Linked DNA regions of Ovis aries. The protein of the gene in region 2 binds, or shares a complex with, the protein of the main gene of each other region. Links are inferred from orthologs where the notes say so. Each region holds a gene or a part of one and is shown on either strand. Other genes may lie near its edges.

Evidence for each region.
Region 1: TAF6 (region 2) and TBP share a complex: the UniProt entries of both Homo sapiens proteins name them as parts of the TFIID basal transcription factor complex. The link is inferred for Ovis aries from reciprocal best matches to the Homo sapiens genes TAF6 and TBP.
Region 3: TAF6 (region 2) and TAF7 share a complex: the UniProt entries of both Homo sapiens proteins name them as parts of the TFIID basal transcription factor complex. The link is inferred for Ovis aries from reciprocal best matches to the Homo sapiens genes TAF6 and TAF7.
Region 4: TAF6 (region 2) and TAF4 share a complex: the UniProt entries of both Homo sapiens proteins name them as parts of the TFIID basal transcription factor complex. The link is inferred for Ovis aries from reciprocal best matches to the Homo sapiens genes TAF6 and TAF4.
Region 5: TAF6 (region 2) and TAF10 share a complex: the UniProt entries of both Homo sapiens proteins name them as parts of the TFIID basal transcription factor complex. The link is inferred for Ovis aries from reciprocal best matches to the Homo sapiens genes TAF6 and TAF10.
Region 6: TAF6 (region 2) and TAF13 share a complex: the UniProt entries of both Homo sapiens proteins name them as parts of the TFIID basal transcription factor complex. The link is inferred for Ovis aries from reciprocal best matches to the Homo sapiens genes TAF6 and TAF13.

Annotation. Positions count from the first base shown.
Region 1 is NC_056061.1:91,733,620-91,737,626, reverse strand, and holds the start of TBP (TATA-box-binding protein), read right to left. Parts: upstream 2,801-4,007; 5' UTR 2,552-2,800; intron 1-2,551. Other genes in the region: PSMB1 (proteasome subunit beta type-1), read left to right, coding at 2,943-3,055. UniProt on the Homo sapiens protein: The TFIID basal transcription factor complex plays a major role in the initiation of RNA polymerase II (Pol II)-dependent transcription.
Region 2 is NC_056077.1:36,773,985-36,778,227, reverse strand, and holds the start of TAF6 (transcription initiation factor TFIID subunit 6), read right to left. Parts: upstream 2,801-4,243; 5' UTR 2,754-2,800; exon of another isoform or gene 2,310-2,753; intron 177-2,309; 5' UTR 117-176; coding exon 1-116. Other genes in the region: CNPY4 (protein canopy homolog 4), read left to right, coding at 3,193-3,307. UniProt on the Homo sapiens protein: The TFIID basal transcription factor complex plays a major role in the initiation of RNA polymerase II (Pol II)-dependent transcription.
Region 3 is NC_056058.1:50,054,608-50,058,767, forward strand, and holds TAF7 (transcription initiation factor TFIID subunit 7), read right to left. Parts: upstream 2,768-4,160; 5' UTR 2,067-2,767; coding exon 1,017-2,066; 3' UTR 501-1,016; downstream 1-500. UniProt on the Homo sapiens protein: The TFIID basal transcription factor complex plays a major role in the initiation of RNA polymerase II (Pol II)-dependent transcription.
Region 4 is NC_056066.1:54,836,453-54,839,952, reverse strand, and holds part of TAF4 (transcription initiation factor TFIID subunit 4), read right to left. Parts: intron 1,702-3,500; coding exon 1,554-1,701; intron 1,207-1,553; coding exon 1,092-1,206; intron 60-1,091; coding exon 1-59. UniProt on the Homo sapiens protein: The TFIID basal transcription factor complex plays a major role in the initiation of RNA polymerase II (Pol II)-dependent transcription.
Region 5 is NC_056068.1:46,195,751-46,198,864, reverse strand, and holds TAF10 (transcription initiation factor TFIID subunit 10), read right to left. Parts: upstream 1,909-3,114; 5' UTR 1,884-1,908; coding exon 1,652-1,883; intron 1,514-1,651; coding exon 1,359-1,513; intron 1,123-1,358; coding exon 1,058-1,122; intron 970-1,057; coding exon 855-969; intron 672-854; coding exon 582-671; 3' UTR 501-581; downstream 1-500. Other genes in the region: ILK (integrin-linked protein kinase), read left to right, coding at 121-270. UniProt on the Homo sapiens protein: The TFIID basal transcription factor complex plays a major role in the initiation of RNA polymerase II (Pol II)-dependent transcription.
Region 6 is NC_056054.1:86,372,192-86,374,913, forward strand, and holds the end of TAF13 (transcription initiation factor TFIID subunit 13), read right to left. Parts: intron 1,747-2,722; coding exon 1,576-1,746; 3' UTR 501-1,575; downstream 1-500. UniProt on the Homo sapiens protein: The TFIID basal transcription factor complex plays a major role in the initiation of RNA polymerase II (Pol II)-dependent transcription.

The DNA.
Region 1 (4,007 bases), on a different chromosome or scaffold from region 2:
GAATTTTGAGCATTACTTTGCTAGCATGTGAGATGAGTGCAATTGTGCAGTAGTTTGGACACTCTTTGGCATTGCCTTTCTTTGCGATTGGAATGAAAACTGACCTTTTCCAGTCCTGTGGCCACTGCTGAGTTTTCCAAATTTGCTGGCATGTTGAGTGCAGCACTTTCACAGCAGCATATTTTAGGACTTGAAATAGCTCAACTGGAATTCCATCACCTCCACTAGCTTTGTCCGTAGTGACGCTTCCTAAAACCCAGTTGACTTCACATTCCAGGATGCCTGGCTCTAGGTGAGTGATCACACCATTGTGGTTATCTGGGTCATAAAGAGCTTTTTTGTATAGTTCTTATGTGTATTCTTGCCATCTTTTCTTAATATCTTCTGCTTCTGTTAGGTCCATAGCACTTCTGTCCTTTATTATGCCCATCTTTGCATGAAATGTTCCTTTGGTATCTCTAATATCCTATGGTTCATTTAGGCATAATTGCAGGTTGTAATGCTTGTTAGCTTGCTTCCTTTGTGCTTCACATAATCAATGAGGTTGTGTGCTCCTTAAGGATAGGAAAGATTTTACAGAATTTTTGTATCCAAGACAGTACCTGAATAAATACAATACTTCTCTGTCCATAACCATCAAAGAAAACCCTTTCTTTTATGCTTTGTTTACAGTAAAGTATAGGAAAAGTTTTAATTAAAAAAAGTACTTTTCAAAAATCTTTTTCTGCTTCCAGAATTGCATGTATATATCAGGCAGTCCATTCTATATTAGTCAAAGGCTTGCTTGCTTTTTTTAATTAACATTTTTAAATTGTAAAATATGATATTCATATAAAGAAGTATGTAAACATGTATACAGATTAATAGATGGTATTAAATCAAGTAAGGGCAGTACATAAACCAAGAACTTCCGGATGTACAAGCTGGATTTAGAAAAGGCAGAGGTACCAGAAATCAAATTGCCAACATCCATTGGATCATAGAGAAAGCAAGGGAATTCCAGGAAAACATCTACTTCTGCTTCATTGACTTCACTAAAGCCTTTGACTGTGTGGATCACAACAAACAATGGAAAATTCTTAAAGAGATGGGAATACCAGACCAGTTTATCTATCACCTGAGAAACTTGTATGCAGGTCAAGAAGCAACAGAACCAGACATGGAACAATGGACGGGTTCAAAACTGGGAAAGGAGGACATCAAGGCCGTACACTGTCATCCTGCTTATTTAACTTATATGAAGAGTACATCATGCAAAATGTGTGGCTGGATGAACCTCAAGCTGGAATCAAGATTTCCTGGAGAAATATCAACAACCTCATATATGCAGATGATACCACTCTAATGGCAGAAAGCGAAAAGGAACTAAAGAGCCTCTTGATGAGGATGAAAGAGGAGAGTGAAACAGCTGGCTTAAAATTCAACATTCAGAAAATGAAGATCATGGCATCCGGTCCCATCACTTCATGGCAAATAGACGGGGAAACAGTGGAGACAGTGACAGATTTGATCTTGGGCTCCTAAATCACTGCAGCGACTGCAGCCATGAAATTCAAAGACGCTTGCTCCTTGGAAGGAAAGCTATGACCAACCGAGACAGTGTATTAAAAATCAGAGACATCACTTTGCTGGTAATGTCTGTATAGGCAAAGCTGTGATTTTTCCAGAGTTATGTACAGATGTGAGAGTTGGACCATAAAGAAGGCTGAGTGCCAAAGAATTGAACTGTGGTGTTGGAGGGACTCTTGAGAGTCCCTTGGACAGCAAGGAGATCAAACCAGTCAATCTTAAAGGAAATCAACCCTAAACATTAATTGGAAAGACTGAAGCTGAAGCTCCAATACTTTGGCCACTTGATGCAAAGAGCTGATTCATTAGAAAAGACCCTGACGCTAGAAAAGAATGAGGGCAGGAGAAGGAAGCCTGGAGGAGGGGGGCGGGGGGCAACAGAAGATGGGATGGTTGGATGTGATCAACACAATGGACATGGGTTTGAGCAAATTCTGGGAGATAGTGAAGGACAGGGAAACCTATCGGGCTGCAGTTTATGGGGTTGCAAAGAGTTAGACACGACTTAGCGACTGAGCAACAGCAACCAAGGGCTCCTCTGGTGGCTCGTTGGCCAAGAACCTGCCTGCCAGTACAAGAGACACGGGAGATGGGCGTTCGATCCCTGGGGGAGGAAGATCCCTTGGAGGAAATGTCAACCTGCTCCAGTAGTCTTGCCTGTAAATACCCCATGGACAGAGGAGCCTGATGGGCATAGTCCGTGTGGTCGCAGAGTCGGACACGCCTGATCTACTGAGCAGGCAAACATTAAATCAAGTAAAGAAACCCAGTATTGCTAGCACTACAACCTCCAACCCATCCCTAGCCAAGGAGGACCTTTCCCTCTAGCCAAAGTCAGTTAATTTGCTTGCTTTTGCACATCCACATCCCTCAGTTGCTTTATCCATTCTGCAGTTTATGGATATTTAGCTCATTTCCAGTTTGGGGCCATTAAGAACATCTTTATGAACATTCTTTCACGTCTTCTGGCCAGGGTACATACCTCGGCGTGAAACTGCTGGGTCATGATGTGTGTGTATTTTCAACTATGTCAAGTAATGCCAGTCCCTTTCCGAATTTACACTTCAATAGACTCTTCGAGTTTCCGTTGCTCCATAGTTTTTCCAATGTCTTTGTAAGCTCAGACTTTAAAATTTCTATCCATCACGAGTGATTTCGAATATTTGCCTGGAAAAGAAAGCCTGTACCTCACTGCCAGGTCTCTTCGTAGAGCAGGCAATAGCTACCGACTGGAAAGGGAGGGCTCTGGCCTCCAGGAGCAACGACTGGCGCGAGATAGAGCGGCCGGAGGCAGCGCCGCGGAAACCGGAAACGGCACAATTTCCGGTCGAGGCAGCCATCTTGCCGTGAGACAGCAGGAGAGCAGCCGCGGAATGTTGTCCTCCGTTGCCTCGTACTCGGGCGCGGGCCGAGACCTGGCCATGGAACCGCACAGCTCCGTGGGCCCTTTGCAGCTGCGCTTTTCGCCCTACGCTTTCAACGGAGGGTAAAACCCGCAGAGCCGCCGCTTTCTCTTTCTTCCTCCATATCCCTGCTTAAGTCTGTCTGCCCGGCGCTGCCCTTCCAGTCTCAGGCCTCCCTCTCCGAGGTTGCTCGGCTAGCTCTTGTTCTTCAGGGCTTCACCTTATAGGCGGGTCACTGGATCTTGATGTGGATGGCCAGCTTTACGTAGACAGCAGATAGAAATTGACACCTGACCTCCGCTCTGAAGAGCTTTAAAAATGGACCTGTCTGAATGTGCTTCTCTAGCCAGCAGGCACGGGGCAGGTTGAACATCTGAGATTAAAAGTTAGGGTTGATTGGCCATGTGATTAAATATAGCTGTCTAGCGAAAGTGAAGTCGCTCAGTCGTGTCCGACTCTGCGACCCCATGGGCTGTAGCCCACTAGGTTCCTCCGTCCATGGGATTCTCCAGGCAAGAATACTGGAGTGGGTTTCCATTTCCTTCTCCAGGGGAATCTTTCTGACCCAGGGATCGAACCCAGGTCTCCCGATTGCAGGCAGACGCTTTAACCTCTGAGCCATCAGGGAAGCCCTGTCTAGCTAATAGGTCTAATCAAATCACCATTTTGAGTTGTTTTAAATAGCAGGTAGGATTACTTGCACAGACTTAGTTTCATTGATCAGTGTTTAGTTTTAAGGGCTAGCGTAAGTTCAGGGGAAAAATACTCAGAAGGCGGACCTTTGAATGTGTGTATTCTTGCATGTTGTATGTGAGCTTTTCTTTCTTTTTAACTTACCCGCTTTATCTTAATACTTTTCCTTGACAGTGCACTGAAAGAACTAGGGTTGTGGAAAGGCACTCTCTTTAGGACTCTTCACTGCGAAGAGCTGTGTATTTAAGCATCGTTTATAGTTTGCCAGCCAAATTTTGTACTTTGAAACGTACACACCAAATTAATCTGGTAATCTTTAAGGACCATCCAAAGACCAGATTA
Region 2 (4,243 bases):
AGCAGCTGGCAGGTCTCCTCCTGAATCTGAGCGATGCCCATGGACTCGGCCACCACCTTCATGGACTCCGATGGCAGCACAGTGTTGCTCAGCTTCAGCTTCTTCTCCTCAGCCATTCTGGAGCCCCTCCTCCCCTCCCCGGAAGGATGATGCCCCAGGGCAGAGAGATGGAGACCCTGGCAGGGGTTGAGAGGAAACTTGAGAGTGAGACCTAAAGAGGGGCTGTCCAGTCAGGAGAGGCCACCACAAGGGGAGAGCAGTGGAGCATGAGGGGGATGGAGTTGGGGGATGTCTTCTGTCCATCCTCACATGAGCAGCACTCACTGAACAGGAGGTAGGACTTGGACCCAACTGGACGCAATTTATTGAGCTCTAGTTCTGTGCCAGGCACAGTACAAGTCAGGTATAGCAGAACGATCTCAGTTCTTAGTTTCAATCCCAGCCCCAGCACTACCTAGCAGTGTTGTCTAGGCAGGCTACTTAAATGCTCCTGGCTTTGGGTTTCTTCTCTGTAAAATGTGCAAAGTGTCCTTTTTACCTCAGGTGGTTGACATGCCTACCTTCATGTCTCTTGCCCCTTCTTGCATCATTATTCATGCTTGACAAATATAAAATGTTGGTTAAATACAACTTGCCCTGTCTGAGCCTATGTGCCCCTACCATTGAATGTGATGAGAAAATACACAGCCATGTTGACCAATCTGCACTTTAAATTCATGGCCACAAACTTCAGATGGGCTCTTGATGCTGCGCTGATGGTCACAGAGCTCAGTGCACTCAGGTTCCATCCCACCTGTCATCTCCTCCTCCCTGATTTTTGGCCATCAGAAGAGACTTCCCCAGGCTCCCATCGCTATGTCCACCCGCTGAGCATCTCTGGCACCCACATGCTCTGTCTTACCTGTTACTATAGAGGTTCTCGTCTCGCCCCTCCCCAACTCCTCTCCTTCTCTTGAACCTACCCCAGTCAGGATTTTGACTCCTGCTCTTGGCTTTCCTCCTCCTTCACTAGCCCCTTTACATTGCCTTTGCTGGTTCTTCCTCTTCTCCTCATCTGCCTGATGCTGGAATGCCCTGCCTTTGGTCCTCATATAGCTATGAGGTATACATATTCTCTTGATGACCTCAACCATTCTCACAGCTTTCAGTATTGCATACAGGCTAAGGATGGTAAATTTATATCCCCCACCCAGAACTTTATTCCCAACTCCAGACTTGTATATTTAACTGGCTACTTAAAATTTCTTCTGAACTCAACTCCTGACATCCCCCTCCCCACCTGCTCCAGCCTCAGCTTTCCTCATCTTCATAGCAATGCCATTAACCCAGATGCTTATTCATCATGTGAGCCCTCACCGCAGACCCATCAGGTGATCCGACTTGATCCCTCTGCTCCCACTGCGTGGCCAGCTCACCATTACCCACCTGCTGGGGAACCTTAAGAGCCTCCTGACAAGGTCTTCCTGCTTGCATCCTTGCTCCCTACATCTATTCCCAACCTAGCAGCCAGAATGATTCTGTCAAAATATAAATCAGATTGGGTCATTTCTCTGCTCGAAACCCTGTACTGGCTCCCAGTGTGCCACAGCATGAATACAAAATCCTTATTTCGGTCTTCGGGGTCCTTTATGATTTGCTATCTCCCCATCAAGTCTCTGACCTTTCCTTTCCTTCTTCCACTATGATCCAGCCCCATGGTCCTCCTTGCTGTTCCAAGATGCCAGGCATGTTTTTGCTTTGTGGTCTTGCTCTGTTCCCTCTGCCTGGAATGCCCTTCCCTAGATGTCCCCAGGCTGCCTATTCCCATTACTCTGTTTAATACTGCACCCCACCCCGGCTCTGCCTTTTTTTTTTTTAAATTCCCATGGAATTTAACGTCTGCTGATACATACTGTATTACTTCTTATGCTTCTCACTACATCGCCCCTTCCCTTCTATGTGTGGACAGAGAGCTTTGTTATGTTCACTGATGTATGCAGAGTCCCCAGACAGATACTCAACAAATACCTGCTGAATATATGAGTTGTAAGGCTTAGAGACTAGGAACTCACTAAGGACTCGGTACCATTATTATCGAACAAGACATAGGCCCAAGCTTGGCCATAATGTTCACTTGAACCTGGCATTAGGAAGTCTAATGTCAAAAGTGTTTAGGAGCGACTGCAAGGTGGTGAGGGGCAGGTGTGGGCCTGATGGAGGGGCGAGAAGAGGGGAGGGAAAAACAATTTCGTTCTTCTCAACCCATCCCAGGTCTCCTCCCCCACTTTTATAAATCTTATCTGCAGAGGACACATTTATTCAACACATACTCTAGACCTCGAGCCGAGTAAAGAGGAGGCGGTCGTGTCCCAGTACCCTGATGAGCTCCTACTAATCCTTCGATAGCCCGCGGTACCCTCTGCCAGTGTAAAGGCTCACAAAACACGCCACGGCCTCAGGAAACCTCAGGTCACTGGAGCGGCAAGGAGGCGTCACAGAAGATTAACTTCATCTAGATCCGTGTAGCATTCCCCAGCAGGGAAGCGGGTCGAAGGTTCTCCAGGCAATGGGTACAGCGCGAAAGAAAGCGTACAGAGCCCACCTCATCCCCCAACATCCCTCCAGTGCAAACACACAGAGCCCCCACGCACACGGACACTCAACCAACCGTCCCCCTCTGGGTCCCCACACGGGCCCTTCAAAGAGTCTAGACCCGGGTACCACTCAGACCCGCCCCCGCCAGCCGAACGCCCAGCGCAGGAAAAGCCTCTCACCGCCGCCAAAGCGCCGCTCACCCGGCGCTCGGCGCCATATTGGCCCCGCCCCCTCCGGGAGCAGGTCCTGGCAGAGACCGAGAGCGGGTCCCTTGCCCCTTCCCCGAGCCGGAGTGAGCTCCCTAGTCTCAGAGCCTGAAATGATATAAAAACGGTGTCTCTATGCTTGCGTGTAAGGAGCACACTCTCTTGCTGTAATTACTTCAGTTTATTCTTTCACTATGCGGCGGCCAGGACCTGCGGGAGGCGCCACAAAACCAGGTGGGGAAGCCCAGAGCGCAGCGAGGCCCCGCCCTCTTTCGAGGCGGCACTGCGCGTGCGCCTCCCGTGCCAGGCTGGATTAATGTTGCCGCCGACCGCCTGGCGATTTAAAGGGCCCGCTGCCTGCTCGAAGTTGGTTTGAAAGCAAGGGGTGGTTAGCTGTGGACGGCACTTGGTCATGGGACCTGTGCGGTTGGGAACGTTGCTTTTCATTTTGACTGTGTACGGTGCTTGGGCTGGGACGCCGAAGGAGGAGGACGATGACACAGAACGCTTGCCCAGCAAATGCGAAGGTATCTAAAGGGAGTAGCCCCTATTCGCATCCTTCTGCCCTACCTCCTTCGTCTGGGCCAGACCAAATGGAACGTGATGGGTGGGTCACTCGACCTCCTTGAGGACCTGAGGAAGGTTCTGATGGAGCCTGGTGGAATTCGAATGGGGCCAACAGAGGGAACGCATAGCGCTACCCCCAAACTATGGCACTCCAATTCCCATGAGACATCCAGAAGGGGGGTGGGGGGGTTGCCTGCTTTTTCTTGCTGGTTTGGGCCCCAGTGGCTTGTGGGAATTGTAGTTCAGACTATCGGCCCGATCGCCCACTCCAGTCAGCATCTTCTCTGTGTGTGTGCGTGTGTTTCCCCCAAAGGACCAGAGCTAAATCTGAAGATCCTGCAGGAGTGAGCTGTCAGGCTCATTACCTTGTAGATATCCTCTGCTCCACCCCAGCAGAGACGCTCCCAAATTACAGGCCCTACGCCCTCCTGCGGGGGTTTGAGAGTGAATAAATCAGGCTTTGAAGCTCATAAAAGACAGAGGTGGCCAAACAACTGGGAGAGGTTCCGCATAACTGTGAGGCTTTGCAGAGCGTCTGCACTGTGTGGATTTTTCATCGAGCAGCATCTTCTGTAGCTGCATCTGTGGGACCAGCTGGGAGGGGGCACTTCAGAGCTGAGCCGCGGAGTGCCCTGGTTCCCTAGTTGGTTGCCTTCTTGGCTTTAATTTCTTCCTGGATTCTATTCCCCTTTGCCTTACTCCACCCTGCATTTCAGTATCAGTGTTCTTCATGACATGGTCCTAACCGCTCCTTTCCTTTCATTTGTGTTCTCACTCTTAACCTGCTACACCTGTCAAGTCTTTCTAAACACAGGCTCAGTTGAGTCCCTCCTTGCTTTAACACCTCTTCAGGCCTCCTGCTGTGATTAGACTCCACGTTTTTGGCACATCATTCA
Region 3 (4,160 bases), on a different chromosome or scaffold from region 2:
TCACTCAACTCAGGCACTACATCACCTGACCTTGTGATTTTTAACTGCTTTACTCTTCTTTACAGTGACTAACAAGGCAAAATGCCTAATCTCAGTGAATTAACAGCTTAGTAAGGATATGAGCAACAGGTAACTTAGACTCTGGTATGACAGGTGCATAAGAGTACTTATCCCATTAGACTATTATAGAGGAAGAGGAGTAATTAAACTCCTTGAAAAAAATGTAAATAAGCTCAGGATTGAAAACAGTGGAAGAATGGGAGATTAGGCTGGAAAAAACATTCAGATAGTTTAGGAAGGCTCTTTATTTCCTAACCTCCAAATGGAGCAGGTGATACTGCCTGATTTCTTTGCCCTTGCTGTGTTCTTTTCTTAAAATCGAACATAACTGCTTCTTTTCCTACAAAACAGAATCCAATTGGTCAATATATTAAACCCCACCAGGAAACCACTTCAGAAGAGGATAATATCCATTACCCCTAAAAGAGCAAGACACATTATAAAGTGAAACTTAACTTGCTTTTATTTATTGTTGAACGTTACGAAATGACTTGCAATGCAAAAATACGAAAAAATTGCTTTGAATAGCTGGAAAATTAGCTATAGCATCAAAAAACATATGCAAACAAACTTTACTGCCTCCAGACTAGACTCTACTGATTTACCTCAGATGTCATCACAGAGTAGCAATGGAAGCTTCTAAACGGAGAAACAGCCACAAAGTCCTGCAATGAAGCTGTGATTAATAACAAAGTTGAACTTTTCACTCCACTAATCCTACAACTTCTCCACATTTATCTGTCTATACATTCCTACTTCCTATGGGATAAACACCTAGCAAAGTGGTTCCAAAAGACAAATGAGATAGAAGTTCACATTTGTCTACAAGACAAATCCAATAGAAGACAGTGGAAGAAACTGCGAACTGCAAAGTTTTACAAGCAATGAAAACAAAAAAAATTTTCTCTTTCAATGCTGACCTCTCACAGTAATGAAATTAAGTATGAAACCACTCCTCACTTCTCTAGGAGTGATTCTAGCTCTTCTTGCAAAGAGCTGAGCTGCTCCTTTTCCCGGTCTTCCTTTTGTTTCAGTTCATCCAGCACAGCCTGAAATCTGTTTTTGAGAGCCAGGTTTTCCACTTTCATGATGAGATCCTCCTGTCTCTTTGCTCTGTCCTGGGTCTCTTGGAGCTTGCCTTTCATGTTATCAATCTGTTTCTGAATTCCCATAACCAGCTGATTGGTTCCCTCGTTTTCTTGGTGCTGTTCATCTGATTCATTTAGTTTGTCCTGTAGCTGCCTTTCCAGATCTTCTTCAGTGTCTATGATGTTTATATCTTCTTCATCTTGATGTTGTGTTTCATCTTCATCTTCACTGCTGCTGCTGAGGTCATTGAATATCTCCCGAAGCTCATCATGTTCTAAGGAGTCATGGCCCTGCCTGTGGCCAGACATTCCTGGGGAAGAGATATCAAGGCCTTGATTTTCTGTTTCTTTTGTCTCATCTTCAGCAATTATTTCCCAGCGGGTACTGACAGCTTCAGCATCTGTGCTCAGCAACCGCTTTACTTCTTTTTCCACATCTGGAGACTCAATATACTTTTTCTTTGCTGTCTTACGGAATCTTCTCTTTCTCACATTTTTCAGAGGCAGAGTAATTCCATGGTTCCAAACAAATTTTTTCTCTTTGTCCTTATCCTTCTTTTTGCTTGCTTTGGGATCAGCAGTAGCAACTGGTTCCTCCACAGGAGGATAGAGATCACCATCAACTGTAGAGACAAGCATCTGACAGACATCAGCTGTCTTGTAAAAGGTTTTTTTATCAATGGTTTTCAAACTCTCCATAACACACGGCAGGTCTACCAACTTTGCGGCCAAAGGGACTCGGTCCACTCTGACAATTCCATGACGCCCATCAGGGTGTAACTCAATTGATAGTCTGTCCTTCAAGTTGACATGGCCAGACTGTACTGCCCGCCTCACAGTAGAGGCATATTCCGGGGGTAGGCGTAAGATAAACTGGCTCTCTAGTTCATGAGGAGCATCATCTTTGCTCTTACTCATTTTTATTTCTTTGTAATTCACTTTTTCTCTAATAACCACTTGTTGCACTAAAAAGTTCCAGGTACTTCACCAGAAAGACCAGTTCTGTATAAACTTGAATCCTTAATTACAAAGAGTTCTAGGTAGAACATCAGCTATATATCTGTTTTTAATTAAGTCCCAAGTCTTTTTGAAAACGCCGTGACTGAACACCAGTTGTTACTGATGCATTGTCTTACTCGTTTATGTCCATTTAAATCTATTAGCTGCAACGCCAAGTTTCAACCTCTAGATGCCGCTGCAGAACAATGCAGAGAAAGCAAATGGCAGCTCCTACGGATTTTCAGCACAGAAAGTAAGGCTCAGCAGATACGCCCAAACCACAAACTCTCCCGGAACAAAGATATTCAAAACGCGGGGCGTAGTGAGCTCTCTTCGCCTCGGGTACTTACAATCCAGTGACGATTATAAATCCAGATTCTCCGGACAGGAACGAGCGGAAAAAGCCACTCAGAACAAGGCCGGGAGCAGAGCGTCTCTTTCTTGATTCCTTTGTTCTTCCCGGCACTTGGCAAAGCGATCCGCTATTGATTATCGGTGAAATGACTCGGAACTGGCAAGGTGAAATCTCGCAGAGAACCGCAGCTCCGAGCGCCAGACTTTGCAACTCCGCAGCTCGGCGTGCCTCCGTCCGGAGCTGCAGAGCTAGCGGAAAAGAAAGCGTTACGTCACCCCGCAGGACAGGAGGAGTCCGTGAGTGACAGCACGCCTTCGGCGGAAGTGCAGGGCGTTTCAGCGCGCGCAGGCGCAACGCGCGATTACGCCGTTCGGCGTGACTTGTTGTCTCGCGAGATTTTGGTTTTAGGAGAAGGTAGCGATCATGTTTCCAAAACAATCACTGTCTTTAAAGTGTTTAAAACAGAAAGCAATTCTAAGAAAGATTGTCTCGCCTGCCTCTGCTAAGCCAGAGCTTTAACTAGCTCGCCTGGGGCCGGTTACTTCCTTAGGCTTCCGTGTGATTACTGGAGATAGGGCGTCCGTGCGGAAATAGTGTTTGTTTCTGGAAACATCTCAGAGTCTCCCAGACTATATTCTTAAATCTGGAGCCGATAAAAGAATTCATAACTAACCATGCCTGTAGATTTTAAAGTACCCGAATCAGTGGCGTGAGGACGTGCTGCCCACTATGTAATTCTGTGTTTGTTGATAATTAAAGTGTCCTTAGGGGGCCTGTGACTCACGGTCTGTTTGTGTTTTGGAGACTTCCTGAGGCAACAAGGGTGATTTCTCTTTTAATGTGTTAGGTGTAGGTATAAGTGTAAACAGGGAACGTAGTGTTCTTCGGGAGGACCGTGTTCATTTAGGACCGTTGTCTGAAAGACGAATGGTCTGATTAACCTTTAACTGAAGTATTATCGCCTGCCACTAATTTGCCAGTAATTTTTTAGTTTGGAATTAAAAAAAAATTCACCCCTACTGTTGAGCTAACTTTTCTACTTGCCTCTTTAGGTTGTCAGGTATTCTTAACATGGATTTATAGTACTTTGGACTAACAGTGTAAGAGTTTTCACTTCTGTTCATTTCCATTTATTAATAGGGTCAATTTAGTAGAGTTCCACTATCATTAAAATTAAAATTCTGTTCTCTAAAATATCGACACCTGCATCTTAAGTTTAAGGGAACTCGCTTAAGATGTGATTAACATGTAGAAAATTCACTTTATTTATTTTGTACTTATTGTCTCCCTCACCGAAGATTGGAAGGTCCATGATAATTAGAAGGCTAACCGTGTGCTCATCTGGTCCCATTGCCTCATATCAAAACGTGGGGCGTAAGAAATATTTGGTAATTCAATGAAAAAATTGACCCATCCGAAGAACATAAATATAATCTAAATCCTCTAATAATTTGTGGGAGAAAATACATTCTGTATTGCCTTAAAATGAAAGAGAGTCACTTGATAGACATTTCCTCTCCAGTCAAGGGTCCTACAAATTGTTAGGAGGCTGGAGGTTTGCAAACAGCAGATGTGAATGTGTCCCTTTTGGTTTCAGCAGACTTATATTGCGTATCATGGGGTGGAATTTAAATGGCTTGACCCCAGTTTGGTTTTTC
Region 4 (3,500 bases), on a different chromosome or scaffold from region 2:
TTTCTTCTGACAGGTTCACTCCAGCCATGGACGCTACGTCATTGATGTCATCATCGTCCCTTCAGGAAACAAGAGGCAGCGACTCTAACTCAATGAGGGGTAGAACTCTGCGAAACTCTGACCCTCGAGCACCACTTTCTAACCACTGGAAAGGCACTAACTTATCCTGCATCCTCCTGACCCCCGCCTGGAACCTGCAGCCTCGCGAAGCACCTGGTCACTGTGGAAGAATTGGTTCTAGACAACAAGACCTGGGCGCTGGGCGTGCTGCTGCCATTGTGCATCACTGGCCCCAGGGCAGGTGGGCAGCCCCAGCTATGGCTTTCCCAGAACTGTCACCTGACTGTTCAGCAGGGACCCAACCCCACCAGGCCCATCTGGTTGACCTGCTCTGCATAGCTGGCTCCCTCACCTGCAGAAGGAAGCATGGTCTCTGGGAGCCCTCGTTTCTTTCCTCTCTGACCCACCAGTAGACGTGTCTCCCAGCTCCACAACCTCCCTCACCCTCATGAGCATCCTTCCCACCCTGCCTGGCCCCCACCTCCTCGTCCTGCCTGGAGCCCAGCTCTAATGTGGGCCCCGAAGGCTCCCAGTGCTGCCAACACCAGGCCTGCTCCCTAACCGTTTGGGGCCGGAGCGTCTGTGAAGGGAAGGACCAACAGGCCCCCAACATGTGCACACTTCACCACCTCTAGACTGAAACCAGAGGAGATAACACAGCCATTCCTAGGGCAACACTCAGACCAGCTGCCCGTCAAGAAACCAGAGCGCAGAACCTCTAAAGGCTGTGAAACTGATGGGAGGTCACAGGATGGGTCCTCTATGAGGACCAAGATGCACTCAGAAGTCTGAGCCGTCGTATCTCAGAAACAAACCTCCTGCCAGCTTGCACAGAGTCAGCTGGCTTGCCTTCCCACCCTGTGTCTGCAGCAAACCTCCCCGAGTTGCTTAGTGGGAAAACACACGCATGGAGATCAGAGCTGAGCGTGGAGGGAACACAGCTTCAAAAGGTGCCACAGAGCAGTCGCTCCTAGGCACAGGCCGGCACCCACGTGGCCTTCCCTCTGGCGCCTCTAGTGCACACTCCTTACCGAAACGAGCCTCCCCCGGGCTCCTTGAGTTTATTTTTCTGTGCAGCAGCAGCTTGTGCGGAGACAGTAGAAAGAGCTTTGGTTCCAGGTAACACAGCAGGTTTCACCACAGGGACTGCAGAGCAAGACGCAAGAGTGTACCCCCTGCACAGACTCGCGCCAAGGCTGAGTGGGCCGAGGGAGGCCATTACCCCCAACCCGCCACGAGGAAGATTCCTAAACCGTAAGAAACACCGTTACTAACTCTAAACTAGAGTAAAAATGCAGGGAGCCTCTCTCAAGCACTTATTTTCCTGCACTTCATCAAACTTTTCGAGGTGTAAGAATGACTGCTGGTAAGGAATCCCGTCCTCTAAAAACCATGCTGCCAGGGTGGGGACTGAAGGGCACATGTGAAGCAGCCAAGCTTGAGCTGTGAGTGCCACAGTGATGAGGACCAGGCGGACAGGGTCAGGCGCTCACCTGGCTGCAGCTGGTTCAGCTGGATCTGCTGGGGCGTGGTGAGCACGATGCGGTTGTGGGGCTGCCGGAGCGCGACCATGGGCGTCTGCGTCAGTGTCACCTGCGGCGGCCGGATCAGCGCTCCAGGCTTGGGTGGTGGCTGGATCACCTGGAGAGAGCCCGCGGGGCGCGTGAGCACACACCCCCACCCCCAAGGGGGCTGCCGGCACCCATCCCCAGCCCAGGGTCCCGGCCGTCCAAAGGGACCAAGCAGGTTGGATGGTACCCCAGGTCTAGTGCCTCCACACCACCTCGAGCTCCTGGAGCAGAGCCGCATGTGGGGCCCTGAGGTCAGCACCCAGGGGACACGGTCCGGAGAGCTTCTGAACCAGCGGGAACAAGCAGCTTCTCCCCAGATGCCAGCATGGGTGCCAGGGCCGCCTGAGACCCACCACAGCCTCAGGCCAGATGCTCAAAACCCAGCTTCTGAGTTTTACAACAGTCACCTGGGGGCTTGCCCTGTGCTACAAGCACTCGAGGAGGAGGCTGGGGGGGGCGGTGCCCTGGACCACATTATCTCTGCGATAAATCCTGTGGAAATTCACAACATCCGGAAGAACAGATACACGGTGGCCCCCAGAGGTGCAGGCCACGTTTTGGCACAAGCTCAGGGAAAACCTCAGGGTTTCCTGTCCCCACAGGCTTCAAGGGCAGCAGGTGATGATCGCAGTGCCTGACTCTGCTATGTCTCATCTTTCTGCTGCAATGAAGCATGATTAAAGCAGAGCCCTCCCCTCTGGAAGAGGGGCTCAGGGAGCCCTGCCCTCACACTGGCTCAAGGCACACCGGCTCCAGCCGTGGCCAGCAGACACTTCTCCATCTCTGTGGAGCCCATCTCCCTCACCATCAACGAAGGCAGAAAGTAACACAGATTTCAACTTGAGCAGGTGAGAAACCAGGACTCCGCTCATGACTCTGATCACCCACCTGAGTATCAGTTGGGCGTTATCATAAAATACACACTCTACAACCTATGAAAGTAACACAAAGACCTCCATTGTTTTATTAAATATTTTAACTGTCTATAGGAACATTCAAAAAAATCTAAGATCATGGCATGTGGTCCCATCACTTCATGGCCAACAGATGGGGAAAAAGTGGAAACAGCACCATATTTTCTTTTCTTGGGCTCCAAAATCACTGCAGACAATGATTACAGCCATGAAATGAAAAGACACTTACTCCTCGGGAAAAAAGCTATAACAAACCTAGACAATGTACTAAAAGACAAAGACATCACACTTTGCCAACAAAGGTCCATATAGTCAAAGCTAGTTTTTCCAGGAGTCATGTACAGATGTGAGAGCTGGACCATAAAGAAGGCTGAGAGCTGAAGAAGTGATGCTTTTGAACTGTGGTGTTGGAGAAGACTCTTGAGAGTTCCCTGGACTGCAAGGAGATCAAATCAGTCAATCCTAAGGGAAATCAACCTTGAATATCCATTGGAAGGACTGATGCTGAAGCTGAAGCTCCAATACTATGGCCACCTGATGTGGAGAGACGACTCACTGGAAAAGACCCTGATGCTGGGAAAGACTGAAGGCAGAAGGAGAAGGGGACAACAGAGGACGAGATGGTTGAATGGCATCACTGACTCAATGGACATGAATGTGAGAAAGTTCTGGGAGATGCTGAAGGACAGAGAAGCCTGGCATGCAGCAGTGCACGGAGTGGCAAAGAGTTGGATACCACTGAGCAACTGATAAACAACAGTAGGAACAAAGGACCTTCCCAGGTGACGCAGAGGTAAAGAATTTGTCTTCAGTCCAGGAGACACGGGTTCGATCCCTGGGTCAGGAAGATCCCCTAGAGGAGTAGTGGCTAGCCACTCCAGTATTCTTGCCCAGAAATCCCCATCGACAGAGCAGCCTGGAGGGCTACAGTCCATGGGGTCACAACGACTGAGCA
Region 5 (3,114 bases), on a different chromosome or scaffold from region 2:
TGGGGCTGGGCTCCTGCCACATTGATTCAAATACACAGAATCCTGTCCTGAGGGCTAGACGTCTCTCCCGACATGAGACTCAAGTTCTGAGACTCACCTTGTTTTTCCTTGTGTTTGCAGGTGGCATTGGAAGGCCTTCGGCCTACCATCCCACCAGGCATTTCCCCCCACGTTTGTAAACTCATGAAGATCTGCATGAATGAAGACCCTGCTAAGCGGCCCAAGTTTGACATGATCGTGCCTATCCTGGAGAAGATGCAGGACAAGTAGAGCTGGAAAGTCCTTATCTGAACTCCAGAGGTGTCAGGACACGGTTAGGGGAGTGCACCTCCCCAAAGCAGTAGGCCTCTGGTTGCCTCCCCTGCCACTAGTCATGGTACTACCCCAGCCATGGGGCCCATCCCCTGCCCCCATCCCTACCACTGTGGCCCCAAAAGGGAATGGGCTCAAAGCTTTGTCACTTGCCACACGGTGTCTCCCAGCATGGGAGGGATCAGCCCTGCCTGTCACAATAAAGTTTATTATGAAAACAGGCTGGTGTGGGGACAAGAGAACAGACAAGTACATTTAGACTGGGTGGCTCAGGTGAAGTAGTGCGGCTTCTTCACATTGATGCCATACTCGCTGAGGGCAGGGGTCAAGTCCTCCATGGTTAGAGTGTACTTGCGGTCCTGAGGGAAGAGGGAAGAGCACCAGCTGAACACAGGAATTCCAGATTTCAATCCCAGGCAGGTGACCCTGAGTAGGTCTTTCACCTCCCCTAAGGCTTAATTTCCCTCAAAGGGGTTTCAGGATAATTTAAGCCTCTGCTGCTGTAGGAAGTAATTACTGAATCAATGAGCCTCCCCTCACACCTTGCTCTTGCTTCGGGAGCTGCCAGAGGCTGTGCCCTTCATTTTGCAGTGCTGTAGGGCATCGTTGGCAATATCTGAGATGAATTTCTGGGCAGCTAGGGAGATGAGCCGAATTCTGGAGAGAAAAAAATGGTATGAGAAGAGCATAGACAATAAACTCCACACAAACACCCAACACTCTAACCTGCCCAGAGTTTACTCACATGCGTGGGTCGGAGGCCTCAAAGCCAGCACGGTTCAGGTAGTAACCAGTCACTGCATCAGGGATCTGAGAAATCAATTAGACGACTGTAAGCGTTAGCCCTGTGTACAGCGGGGCTGAGAGTCGGGGTAAGGGAAATGGAGGGCAGGCCTGGCTATCAGGAAGCTCCCAGTTTGGGTGGGCAGAAGGGAAAAATCACAAAAGCTAGGAAGAGAAACACAAGAGGATGCTGCAAATCCAGATGGTGTGGCAGAAGTTGGCGTGACAGCGAGTCATTAGCCTTGTTCAGGCAGGAAGCCCACCGTAGGCGTGTAATCCTCCAGCTGCATCAGGAAGTCCACTAGAGGCGTGCTGGACACCACTGGCTTCACCTCTCCGTTGGCCGCGCTTGGCAGCACGTAAACCCCGTTAGACATGGCCCCCTCCGGGGGCGCCGCGCCGCCGGTCGTCACTGGAGCTGGAGGAAAACCAGCAAACTGAGACACGGAGGTGGGAGGCTCGAGGGTTCCGCTAGGTGTGTCTTACCCTCTGCCCTCACCCGCCGCTGGGCCCAGCCCAAAGCGCGGCCCTCGCCCTCACCCGTCCCGGCCCTCACCCGCCCCGCGCCGCTCGGCAGGCTCCCCGGCCCGCGCCGCCACGGCTCCAGTGCCCCCTGCCGCGGCTCCAGCCCCAGGCCCCCCTGACGTCCCCGCGGGGCTGGCCTTGTTCTCCGCGGCGGTGCCGGCGGGCAGCGCGGCGGGGGCCGAGACCGCGGGCGCCGGGCCCGGGGCCGAGGCGGCGGAGGCCGGCGCCGCCTCGGGGTCCGCGCCGGAGCCGCTGCAGCTCATCGGGCCGGTGGGAGAGGCGGCGAACAGAGCCGCTTCCGCTTCCGTTCACCTTACGCACACACCAGGGGTGACGTCACGCGCCCCACGACTCGTTCCTCCCACGCCACGTTCGCTCCTCCCTTAGGCCTCCTTCCTTTATTCCCCGCCCATCCAGCCGCTACCTGACAAAGGCGGGAGGGCGGAGACCAAGTGTTGCGGAACTGGGCTGGCGCGGACATTTCGCGTCCGGACCCGCGGTTCTCCAGTGTGGATCCGCTGGGATGGGAACCCCTCAATGTCGAGGATTCTCTTCTATGGGCTTGAGGCCCCCTCACCCAGCCTGACGTCTAAAATTCTTGCTTTGATGCTCATCGCCCCGACACCTCTCTACTGTTGGTCGCCTGCGTGTCTGCATCTTTTCTAAGTTCCTTTATCCAGCCTTTTAAGGGTTTGTAGTGGAGTTGAATAGCCTCTTTCCCCGCCAGCTGCCCAAAGTGAAGGTAACCGGACAGCTGACACAGTGCTGCTGCAGATGGGGAGAGAGGTACAGTCCACCGTCCGTATAGGTGGTGAAGGGTTGGTAGGATTGGTTCCGGGACTCCCCCGACTCCCGTCCCCAACCCATGTATACCAAAATCCGTGGATGCTCAAGTCCGTTATATGAAATGGCATAGTATTTGCACTGTATACTCTATATAATCTCTAGATTGCTTATAATATCCAATGCGATGTGAATAGTTTACTGGTGCATGGTAAATTCAAGTTTCGTCTTTTATAATTGGAATTAAAAAATATATATATCTTCAGTTCACGGTTGGGTGAATCTGTGGATGGAGAACCCGAGGATACAGAGGGATGGCTGTCTTTCAGTCTTAATAAACAATTTATGTAAAATCACGGCTAGTGAAAGAGTGGGGTTTTCAACACAGCAAAAATTTATTTTTGTCAGTCCTGAGCTAGGGTCTGCAAATACAGAGTTAAGTAGGAGAAGGTTCTACTCCTCCGGGCACCAGTGGTCTTGCAAAGGGAGGCATTAACAGTTAAACTTGCCATTTCACCAATATATGGGAGTTAAAATACTGGAGGTAGACACAGGGTGTGCAGTGCAAGGGAGGAAGGGAACTAATAGTTGCTGCCTACATCTGTGTGTTAGGCATTCCATTAAGTTTATTCCACTTAATGATTTCCTGAATATTAGAGGCAGGTATCAATATCCTCACTTAACAGATGAGGAAAAAGTCTCCAAGAGTTG
Region 6 (2,722 bases), on a different chromosome or scaffold from region 2:
AGAGGTCTCTCTCAGCCATGTGAGCACAGGGAGAAGGCAGCTATCTGCAGTCCAGGAAGACTCCTTACCAGTACCTGACCTATTGGCACCCTGATCTCAAGACTTCTAGTCTTCAGAACTGTGAAAACATAAATTTCCATTGTTTAAGCCAGCCACTCAGTCTGACATTTTTGTTATGGGAGCCCAAGCTGACTAATACAGGCACCCAGTGTAACTCCACTCTGCCGGTTACCACCAGGTCATTCTTCAGGGTCAAGCAGACTCTGACTAGCAAAAATAGTAACATACTGATCTTTTATTATTCCACGCTCAATCTTGATTTCAGTTTAAAGTAGATTTTTAACTGGTTTTTGCTTTTTCAAATAAAAATATCAGGCCAGGTATCTTGAATCTCACAATCAATTCAGGAGCATTACAAGAATAATACAGAAAAAAAAGTTTTTAGTGAATTATAAGGGAGAGAAAAGCTGATAAATCATATAGTCAAACTCAAGCAGTAATCTTTTTAATTTTTCATCCTTTATTCTCTACATTGATAGGTTAAGAAAGTGAAACCTTCCTAAATACTGATTCATAGACAATGCTTATAAGCGGCACACGAAACAATCAGTTTCACAAAGAGTAATATCCAGTGATCCCTTTAAATGCAATTTTAATCCTTACTTTCAGCTAAGTGCAATAATACAATGAGCTAAATACACACAAAATTTGTGAACTACAAAAGTGGTTTCCATAGCCACACATGGTTTTAGTCAAGTATACATTTTCAGAATAAATAAATACTAACAAATATGTTAATAAAACACTACCCGAAATGCTTACCTGCCATCAACTTTTCAGCAATGCCATTCCTGCTACTGAAAGCACTTTCTGAAGTTTTAATCTGACCTGGGAAAACGAGTTCTTTTAAAATCTGACAAACAGTATATTATAAACCCCAAAGATTTTTAATCCAGTATGTCTTTCAACACAGAACCATTCATAGGAAATTCTTAGTTTCTCAAAAAATAAAAAAAATCACTCTTGTTATCCAAAGAAGAGTATTAAATTATCTTAAGACAAATAAACACTCCTACAAAAGACTGTACTTTCTAATATTGTTTTCTCCTTAAAAGAAACACAAACCAGTTCACCATCTTTTAATAACTTACAATACTTTGGTCTAAAAGCTTTAGAAATATATGAAACACATCTTAGCTATCAAAGTCAAAGGTGCCATTTAGATTTCACAGATTAAACAGCTATAGTACAACCTACAATGGCACAAGTATACATAAATATTAATTCATCATTGAGATGGTCAAGAGTCAGAGGAAACTGAATGGTTTGCAAACCAAAGGTACTTTGACTTACATGTGGTCATTAAAATCTAATATGTCATTCAAGTAGGGTAATATAATGGCAGGCAATTAAAGGCTCATATATCACTCTAAAATTGAAAACATGAAAATAAAGCCTGAAAACTTTGTGGTTCTCCATTTTTCATTCACATGGTTAGGTATCAGGGCCTTACTGTGGAAAATACAGTTATTAAGTATGGTTTCCCCAGAACATAATGAAGCTTCAGAAAAGATGTCAAGATCCATAGTTTGCTTCATCAAATGCTTTTCTAGCGCGTTTCAATTCTTCATTCATAGTAAGCAAGTCTTTAACCCTAGCAAACTTTCTTGGGTCCTTTCGAATCAAGAAGACGATATCTTCAACTTGTACCCGACCTTGTCTTCCAATTGACATTGCCTTATGAGTCTATTACAAAGAAACATATTAAATTCAATTAATTTTTCAAAAATCTAACATTTTATTTTTTTAACTATAATGCTGGTGAGTTTGAAGACTTCTCTTCTAATTATTATAGCTATTCATTTGTGAATTGTCTTTCTATTAATGTTCTTTGTCCACTTCTACCATTATTAGCAATGTTTCAGTGCTTGACAGACATTTTTTACACTAAAGTCATTAAAACTATCAAATCCATAGATGCTTCTTTTTGTATTTTGATATACATATAGTTGATCTTCATTTGTATAAAATGATTTTGTAATTTCTCTGTAACCACCCACTTCATTTAAACTTTGTGTCCATCTTGGTAGCTAATAAATATTGGTGGCTTTTCTTTAGACAAATCTCATCCCCTATGATTACATAATCATACTGTGTAAAACAAAAAACTCCTTGCAGCATTATTTCTAATGACTGAAAAAAAAGAAACTAAATATTTAATAAGGCATTGAACAAATTTGAGTACATCTAGCCAATTAATATTATGAAGCCATCAAAAATATTAAAAGTATTCTGCAGTGACACAGGGAAAGCAGGCTCTATGACTGTATGTACTACATGATTTCAATTTTGTAAAGTTTTAAAACGTGTAAAAAGACAAAAGAATATTCACAAAAATCTCAGCATCAGTTATCCCTTGGTAGAAGGGTTATAGCTTTCTATTTTCTTCTGGGCACTCTTTAATACTTTCTAAATTTAATATAAGCATATATAAAATAAATTTAATAATACTTTCTAAATTTAATATAAGCAGAAAAAGATTTTTTAAAATGCATACTCTCTGACCCAGTAATTTTACTTCTATTATTCTTTATGAAGGAAATAATCTAAAACAAAGGGTAAAAATTCACAGGAACTGAACACAGCCAAACTCCGTATACCCATATATATACATGTATATCTCTCTCCATCCTTAATGATAAACGGTAACCAGAAACTTCCA